2 linked regions of the Sus scrofa genome follow. The protein of the gene in region 1 interacts with the protein of each later gene in a biochemical or structural test. Links are inferred from orthologs where the notes say so. Each region holds a gene or a part of one and is shown in the gene's direction. Other genes may lie near its edges.

What was found. The genes of interacting proteins can lie anywhere in the genome.
Region 2: the proteins of HNRNPA1 (region 1) and PSMD9 interact in a test that uses a peptide from one of them, tested with the Homo sapiens proteins (3 studies listed by BioGRID and IntAct, with this or other methods). The link is inferred for Sus scrofa from reciprocal best matches to the Homo sapiens genes HNRNPA1 and PSMD9.

Annotation. Positions count from the first base shown.
Region 1 is NC_010447.5:19,483,860-19,487,976, forward strand, and holds the start of HNRNPA1 (heterogeneous nuclear ribonucleoprotein A1), read left to right. Parts: upstream 1-1,317; coding exon 1,318-1,332; intron 1,333-1,877; coding exon 1,878-1,994; intron 1,995-2,287; coding exon 2,288-2,434; intron 2,435-2,564; coding exon 2,565-2,775; intron 2,776-2,866; coding exon 2,867-2,959; intron 2,960-3,044; coding exon 3,045-3,137; intron 3,138-3,246; coding exon 3,247-3,321; intron 3,322-3,595; coding exon of another isoform or gene 3,596-3,754; intron 3,755-4,117. UniProt on the Homo sapiens protein: Involved in the packaging of pre-mRNA into hnRNP particles, transport of poly(A) mRNA from the nucleus to the cytoplasm and modulation of splice site selection.
Region 2 is NC_010456.5:30,819,027-30,823,872, reverse strand, and holds the start of PSMD9 (26S proteasome non-ATPase regulatory subunit 9), read left to right. Parts: upstream 1-1,737; 5' UTR 1,738-1,867; coding exon 1,868-2,005; intron 2,006-4,846. UniProt on the Homo sapiens protein: Acts as a chaperone during the assembly of the 26S proteasome, specifically of the base subcomplex of the PA700/19S regulatory complex (RC).

The DNA of each region.
Region 1 (4,117 bases):
CCCTTCCTCGCATCCCCAAATCTAAGACCTCCCTCTTTTGGAGCGCTGATTGGACGAACAGCCTGAGCGCTTTCCAGAGGCTGCTCGCCTACTGGCTCCCGATTTGGTCCATCCACCTAACCGCCCAACTCCCGCATCCCCCATTGGAGTCAAATCGTGGCCTCTTGGAGGAGCCCAACCTACCGCGCGCTTCGTGCTCATTGGCTCAGTGAGATGCTGCTCAGGAGGAGAAAGCCCGCCTCCCACATACCGATGGCCCAAGGACCGATGAGTCGGCAGCTAAGGACAGCCCCAATTGGCCTATACACTCGCCAGTCAAACTCTTCCGCTGCAAAGCTCCACAGAACCTACGGGGATAAAACATCCCGCCCCCGTTCTTCCATTGGTTGGCCGATCTCACCGCTCCCCCTTCACGAGCCCCCACCCCGAGGTCCATTCATTTCACACAATAACGGGCCCAGTTGGAGTCAGTTCAAGACCTCGTATGGGTAGGCAAGATGGTCCGCCACTTACCGGGGGTCGAGACCGATCACTCACGCTAACGCCTCGCCTGTTCCTCTGTGGTGCGGCCGGACCACAAGCCACCGCCGCCGCCGCCTTCTGCGCAACGCCAACCGCCCGCCAAAACGGATCCTTCCCTGCGCCTGCGCGACCAATCCTGGGACCCGACCCTTTCCCCGCCCATTACGCCTGCGCAAAAGGGGGCACAACTCCCGCCACTACGCAGGCGCCTTAGGTTCGCCGCTGTCTCCTGCCCGCCATTTCACGTGTTGCAAGCTCCGGGCGGAACTTCTTAGCGCGCCTGCGTAAACTCGCCATTTTACTACACATGCGCTCAGCAGGCGATCTTGCCCCCGCCCCCGTTCCGCCAAATTGTCACATGCTAGCTACTTTTTTGATACATAGTATTAAAAATGCTTTGACACAGGCGTTGAATATTCCGGACATAGCTAATTAAAAAGTTATCTCAATACCCGAAATAATTCAAATATGAATCATTGGTTGACCAGCCAATCAGTCTAGTTAAGAATAATATTACTTAGGAACCAATGGACCGGGAGGGGTTGAGACTGCGTAGAACGCCCAAACGGATGACGTTACACAGCAACGCATACGAGAGACCAATAGTGGGGGAAAGCTATGTCAAATATCCAATCAGAGCTACTCAGGGGCGGAGTCTACCAATGCCGAACGCGAGGAGGCGGGATAAAAAAGCGAGGCCGAAGGTAGGCTGGCAGACTCGTTCGTTAGATTACTCCTTTCTGCCCCCGGACGCCGCCGAGTAAGCATCGTTGTAACCTCCTCCCCACTACCGTCATGTCTAAGTCAGAGGTGAGTGAGACTCTTTTTTCATCTGCGTTTTCTTCTTCGCCGCTTGCTGAGTTTGGTAGGGTGCAGTCTGGTTTGGCTGCTTGCACCAGCCTTTTCGGCAGTTCTTCGGTCGCTGCCGGGGCCTACCCCTCCCTGAGTTCAGGTCGCCATTTTGTCCTCGTCGCCATGAGGCTGTCGTCGTGCAATCCTTGGTTATCACGCTGCTCTCGTTCTTTTTTGCAATGCTCGTGGACACATTCGGTCTGTTTTTCATCCTTGTCCTAGTGGACGACTTTCTTAAAGAGTAGCTGTAGTCCAATTTTGGCGATGCACGCCCTCCCAGTCCTTTTGTTGCGCGTGCGTCGTAGGGAGAGTAAGGGGCGCATGCGCTCGCCGCTTCCCAGCCCCCAACATACCGCCTCCCCAGATGGGGAGAAGCACGTGGCTTACAGCGACCCGAGGGAACAATAAAAGCTTCGTACGTTGCTACCTGGTGTTGCTTCTTGTAGCGGGGAGCTTGTTTGCGTTATAGCCCTATTTAACGCTTTTTTTGCCCCTACTTCTAGTCTCCCAAAGAGCCCGAACAGCTGCGGAAGCTCTTCATCGGAGGTTTGAGCTTTGAAACAACCGATGAGAGTCTGAGGAGCCATTTTGAGCAATGGGGAACGCTCACAGACTGTGTGGTAAGACTTGGAAGAGACAAAAGGCCTTAGAGCTAGTTGTTTTTCTTGGCTTATCTCGCTGTCGTTGCTGTTTGAATGCTTATGAAGATTCCTATTGACTTTATAGCTTACTTGACAAAGGAAGGTGTGGCTTCATAGCTGAAAAGCTCCCAATTGTTAGGTTTAAGGGGTGGGGGCGGTGGTCATTGAAGAGCTTCGTTTAGAGGGTTGGTAGAAAGTTTTCCATTGCCTTAGTCAAGGTAGAAAAGGCTGTAACTTCTGGTGTCTTACCATGTGCTAAATAAACATTAAAGGTAATGAGGGACCCAAACACCAAGCGCTCCAGAGGTTTCGGGTTTGTCACGTATGCCACTGTGGAGGAGGTGGATGCAGCCATGAATGCAAGGCCGCACAAGGTGGATGGAAGAGTTGTGGAACCAAAGAGGGCCGTCTCAAGAGAAGTAAGTGATGTTTTTCTTGTGTTTCATCGACTGGAAATGTTCGATTAGCAGGATTCACTCACATTAAGGGGATGTAACAGACTTAGTATTAACATGGTCTTAGGATTGTTACTATTTTCTCCCCCTTTAGGATTCTCAAAGACCTGGTGCCCACTTAACTGTGAAAAAGATTTTTGTTGGTGGCATTAAAGAAGACACTGAAGAACATCACCTAAGAGATTATTTTGAACAGTATGGGAAAATCGAAGTGATTGAAATCATGACGGACAGGGGCAGTGGCAAAAAGAGAGGTTTTGCTTTTGTAACTTTTGATGACCATGACTCCGTAGACAAGATTGTCAGTAAGTAGCAGGTGGTTGGCATTCGCTAAGAGTTCTGAAATCCATTTGTGTCCTAAACTCTGAGATGGTGTCTTACTTTCAAATTTTTCAGTTCAGAAATACCACACTGTGAATGGCCACAACTGTGAAGTGAGGAAAGCCCTATCCAAGCAAGAGATGGCTAGTGCTTCATCCAGCCAAAGAGGTGAGTTTGTTGCTTAATTAAACCTTAAGCATCATTTTGAATGATTTTAACCGGTACAATTTAACGTTAACATTTTTTTCTTCAGGTCGAAGTGGTTCTGGAAACTTTGGTGGTGGTCGTGGAGGTGGTTTTGGTGGAAATGACAACTTTGGTCGTGGGGGAAACTTTAGTGGTCGAGGTATGTATGGTTTTTTATTATTTTAACGCTTCTTAGAATTTAGGCTTAGAAGGGTGTGATTTGTATGCGATCCACATACTTCAAACCTGGCTTTTAAATTCTGTTCCAGGTGGCTTTGGTGGCAGTCGTGGTGGTGGTGGATATGGTGGCAGTGGGGATGGCTATAATGGATTTGGTAATGACGGTAAGTTTTTTTGTTTTTACTGTTAAAATTTTGTGTGTGCGTGTGTGGGTTTTTTTAGTTCGTTTTGTTGTTGGATTTTTTTGTTTTTTAAGAAACTACAGGTAAAAAGTTTGACTACTTTTAGAATAGGCTAGTAGATACTAAAACTTTAGTGCATGATAAGTTCAAGTTTGACTCTTACAGCATGTTGTGAGCCGGCCTTTAGCCATCATGCTTGCACAGAATTTGAATGTTGAATACTTGTGTCTTATTGAGAAGAATTGTATTCTTGTAGGTGGTTATGGAGGAGGCGGCCCTGGTTACTCTGGAGGAAGCAGAGGCTATGGAAGTGGTGGACAGGGTTATGGAAACCAGGGCAGTGGCTATGGCGGGAGTGGCAGCTATGACAGCTATAACAACGGAGGAGGCGGAGGCGGCTTTGGCGGTGGTAGTGGTAGGTATCCAGTGATCCAAGTACTTGGTGCAAATAGCTAGCTTAGCCATATGGGAACTTGATGCTCTCTAGGCATAATGTGTTTTACTGCATGGTACTTTCTTTTAATGGGCTTGCAATGCTACCTCCTCCTAGCTTTAAGCTGGGGCCGCCTCACTCCCAAATAGATTAAGGGGGATAGTGGTGCCTACAGTTAATCGGGATTAGGTTAGCTTTTATTTAGGCACTTAGTTGATGTATCCAGCATGTGTTTGCGGTGCCCCTGGATGGGTAACAACAGCCTTCGAGGCTAGAGACTATACTACTTGCTCTACCATGGTGAGTCAGGGGTAAATTTCTAGCTACTGGATTATTCAACTGAAT
Region 2 (4,846 bases), on another chromosome or scaffold:
TAACGATCCGGCGTTGCCATGAGCTGTGGTGTAGGTTGCAGACGCGGCTCGGGATCCCACGTTGCTGTGGCTCTGGCGTAGGCCGGTGGCTACAGCTCCGATTCGACCCCTAGCCTGGGAACCTCCATATGCTGTGGGAGTGGCCCAAAGAAATAGCAGAAAGACAAAAAAAAAAAAATTCAATCAAGGATCATGCATTGCATTTATTTATTGTGTCTTTTTGTTTCTTTTTTTTTGGTGTCAATGTTAGAAATTTTAGTTTATATAAAAGAGATAATTGAACAAAATATAAGAGGCCTAATGTAATCAGTGCTATTTTTTTGTGTGTGTAAAGATTATTTTAGCAACTTTTTATTTTGAAATAATTTCAAATTTACAGAAAAGTTGCAATGATAGTACAAAGAATGTTCCTCTATGTTTCACCCGGAGACACCAATTATTTACACTGTCATATTTACATTTTCATTCTCTTGTCTGCAAATATATGTATGGACTTTTTTCCAAACCATTTGAAAGTAAGTTGCTTCTTTTGCCCCTAAATACTACAGAGGTCATTCTAAGGACATCATCTTAAATAACTACAGGTATCAAAATCAGGAAATTTAACTTTGGTACTATATTATCCATATTCAAATTTCCCCAGTTGTCCCAAAGATGTCTTTTATAGTTTGTTTTTTTTTTTTGAGGGAACCAGGATCCAATCAAGGATCACATGTTGCATTTAATTAGTTAATTGTTATGTCTCTTTAGTCTTTTGTTTTGTTTTTTGTGAACAATGGCATTCAGAAGTTCCTGGGCAAGGGATAAAACCCGAGCTACAGCAGTGACAACACTGGATCCTTAACCCATTGAGCCACCAGGGAACTCCTCTTTAGTCTTTAATCTAGGCAATTGCCTAACTTCTGTGTGGAAATTTCACAATAACGACCTTTTTGAAGAGCTTAGGTCAGTTGTTTGGAATGTCTCTCAAATTGGGTTTGTCTGTTTTTCATGATTGGATTCAGGACAAACATGTTTGACTGCTACATAGTGATGCTGTGTCCTATTCAGGGCAACATATTAGGAGGCACATGTTAAGATGTCACCGTTTGGGAGTTCCCGTCGTGGCGCAGTGGTTAACGAATCCGACTAGGAACCATGAGGTTGCGGGTTCGGTCCCTGGCCTTGCTCAGTGGGTTAAGGATCCAGCATTGCCGTGAGCTGTGGTGTAGGTTGCAGACGCGGCTCGGATCCCGCGTTGCTGTGGCTCTGGCGTAGGCCAGTGGCTACAGCTCTGATTAGACCCCTAGCCTGGGAACCTCCATATGCTGCGGGAGCGGCCAAAGAAATAGCAACAACAACAACAAAAGACAAAAAAAAAAAAAAAAAAAAAAAAAAGATGTCACCGTTTGATTAAGCTGGGTTCAAATTTGGGCTGCTTATTTTGCTAGTTGGGCAAGTGGGTTATTGAGATAGTTTTTTCAGCTGTCAAATGAGGGTAATAATAATAATCCTGGTTTTATGAGTTTGTTGATTAATACATATGGACAGTGTGTGATGCATTATGAGTATTTGATAAATTATTATTATTATTGTAGCACCTGCAGCATCTGTAAGTCCTGGGGCTAGGGGCTGAATTGGAGCTGCAGCTGCTGACATATACCACAGCCACCAGTCATACCCACACTCCACTAGTCACCACAGTACCAAGTGTTCCAGCAGGGTGTGGCTTCCGGTGGCACCGCCCTCTGACAAGCCACGCCCCTCTTTTCCTGGCGCCTGCGAATGGCGGTGGTGTTTTGGCCCGCCGGTGGAGCCGTAGCTACAGTCTCCTCGGGCGTTCGCAGCCGGAAAACCGGCTGTCCAGGATCCCGGACCGAGGTCCACAATGTCGGAGCAGGAGGCTAGGCAGAGCGGAGGTTCCCCGGAGGCCAGCGGGGTGACTGTAAGCGACATTCAGGCGCTGATACGGCGCAAGGAGGAGATCGAGGCGCAGATCAAAGCCAATTATGACGTGCTGGAGAGCGTGAGTGTGGGCACGGGGCTCCCGGGCGGGCGTGGGAGCCGCCCCAAGGCCTCCTGACGCGGTCCTGGGAACTGGGAGGCCTGGGAGGCCTGGGAGCTCAAGCGGTCGGTCCCTGCTTGAGCTCTCATGTGTGGATCTGGTTCTGCTTGGGAGGCTCAAGGCGCTGCAAGTGCGGCCTCTGTCGGTAGCAGGCAGTGAGGCAAATAACGTGAATAACTGGGACAATTAGTATTGACGTTCTAGCAAGCATTTATGGAGCCCTTGCTGGGTTCTGGGCGCTGTGTTAAGCGCTAAACATTGGTTAACTCGTTTAGTCCTCCCAGCGATCCTTTGGAAGGCAGCTGTGCTCACCACTATACCACCAACGCCACTGCCAACAATCCTTTGAAATGTGTTCTGCTGTTTACCCCATTTTAGGGTTGGGGAAACAGAGGCATTTCTTAAACCTGCCTCAGGTCACAGAGCTAATTAGTTTGCACAGGCAAGGTGATAATCACCTCTATCAGCCCTTGTTGTGTCCTGAGCTTTTTTAATCACTTTATGTTGGAGCTTCTTAAACTTTAATGTGTGTACGAATTACCTGGAGACATTGTTAAAATTCCGATTCTAATGGGGAGACAGTGTGCGGAAGCAGCTATGCATTTTTAGCAAATTCCCAGTGATGCTAACGGCGCTGGTCTCATGACAGAGCTTTGAGCGACAGGAAGTTCTCGTTATCCTTATGGTATAAGGAGGAAAGTGAGGCCTAGAGTCATGCATGTAGGAAGTGGCAGTGGTGAGGCTAGTTCCCAGGTCTCTCTGGCTCCAAAGCCACTTAATGTAAAACCACAAATCAGTTTGCAGAGGAAGAATAAATTAATCACATCTTATAAGGGGCAAATGGAATGCATTTTAGGTGATGGGAGTAAGGTGAAGTATCATATGGAGGCTGGGGTACTGTATGCTGAGTATTTACCTGAAGGGTGCTGGTTTATGTGTTATGTCATGGAATCCTCTCAGCTACTTTGTGAAGTTGGTATGTTACCCTTAGGCTCAGAAAGGGGAAGTCACTTGCTCAAATTCACAAAGTGGGATTCAGATCTGATGCTTATTGAATCCAGAATCAGTGCTTTTAAGTTGTGCCAGCAATTTCTCACACCTTAGATATTTTTTTTTACTTCAGGTGTATCTGTAAACCACCTGTACTATTATTCCCTTGATATTTTTCTTTGAGTTGACCCACCTTTTTTTTTTCCCTCAGGGGCCAGGGATTAGATCTGAACCACAGTTGCAAAGTAAGTCGCACCTGTGACAATGCCAGAACGTTCCACTGTGCCGGGCCTTGGATTGAACCTGTGCCCTAGCACTCCCAAGTGTGCCACAGTGGGAACTCCAAGTTGACTCTTTTTTTTAAAGATCATATGTCAGATTGTGGCATTGTGTGCTTTTTTTGTTTGATTTTTTTTTTTTTTCCCTTTTGGTTTTTAGGGCCACACCCGAGGCATATGGAAGTTCCCAGACTCTGGACTGAATCAGAGCTATAGCTGCCAGCCTATACCACAGCCACAGCAACTTGGGATCTGAGCTGTGTCTTCTACCTACACCACAGCTCATGGCAACGCTGAATCCCCGACCCACTGAATAAGGCCAGGGATTGAACCTACATCCCCATGGATCCTAGTTGGGTTCGTTTCTGCTGAGCCAGAACGGAACTCTCTGACCCTCCTTTTTTTTTTTTGGTCTTTTTGTCTTTTCTAGGGCCGCACCCTCGGCATATGGAGATTCCCAGGCTAGGGGTCTAATTGGAGCTGTAGGTGCCAGCCTATGCCATAGCCACAGCAATGCAGGATCCGAGCTGTGTCTGAGACCTACACCACACACAGCTCATGGCAACGCCGGATCCTTAACCCACTGAGCAAGGCCAGGAATCGAACCCACAATCTCATGGTTCCTAGGTGAATCCGTTAACCACTGAGCCACGATGGGAACTCCTGACCCACTTTTTTACTTAGATAATTTTATTTTAAAAGGAAATTTTGCAACTCAACAGCATATAAAAAAATGAGAATCTCTTCTCTTAAACATAAGGTGAAAGTGTATATCAAGGTGATCCATCCAAATATCTGTCAACTGATGAATAAATAAATAAAATGTGGTCTAACCATACAGTGGGATATTATTCAGTAAAAAGGAATGAAGTGCTAACACATGTTGCAGTGTGCATGAACCGTGAACATTTTGCTAAGCAGAAGAAGTTCATCACAAAAGACTACATATTTTGTGATTCCATTGATTGATTGACTGTGCCCGAGGCATGTATGTGCAAGTTCCTGGGCCAGGGATGGAATAAGAGCCACAACAGTGACAGTGCTGGATCCTTAAACTTTCTAGACCACCAGGGAACTCCTGTGATTCCATTTTTTTTTTTTTTTTTTTTGGTCTTTTTAGGGCTGCACCCATGGCATATGGAAGTTTCCAGGCTAGGGGTTGAATCGAAGCTCCAGCCGTTGGCCTGTGCTACAGCGACAGCAATGTGGGATCCCAGCTGCATTTGCAGCCTACACCACAGCTCACAGAAATACCTGATCCTTAACCCATTGAGTGAGGCCAGGGATCGAACCTGCATCCTCATGGATACTAGTCGAGTTCATTACCCCTGAGCCAGGATGGGAATTCCCTATGATTTCATTTATGTGAGATATCCAGAATAGGCAAATCCATAGACAGAAGATTGATTAATGGCTACTAGGGCTTGAGAGGAAGGGGGAATGAGAATGACTCCTAATGGGTTTGGGGTTTCTTTGGAAATGTTATAAAATTGATTATTGTGGAGTTCCCGTCGTGGCGCAGTGGTTAACGAAT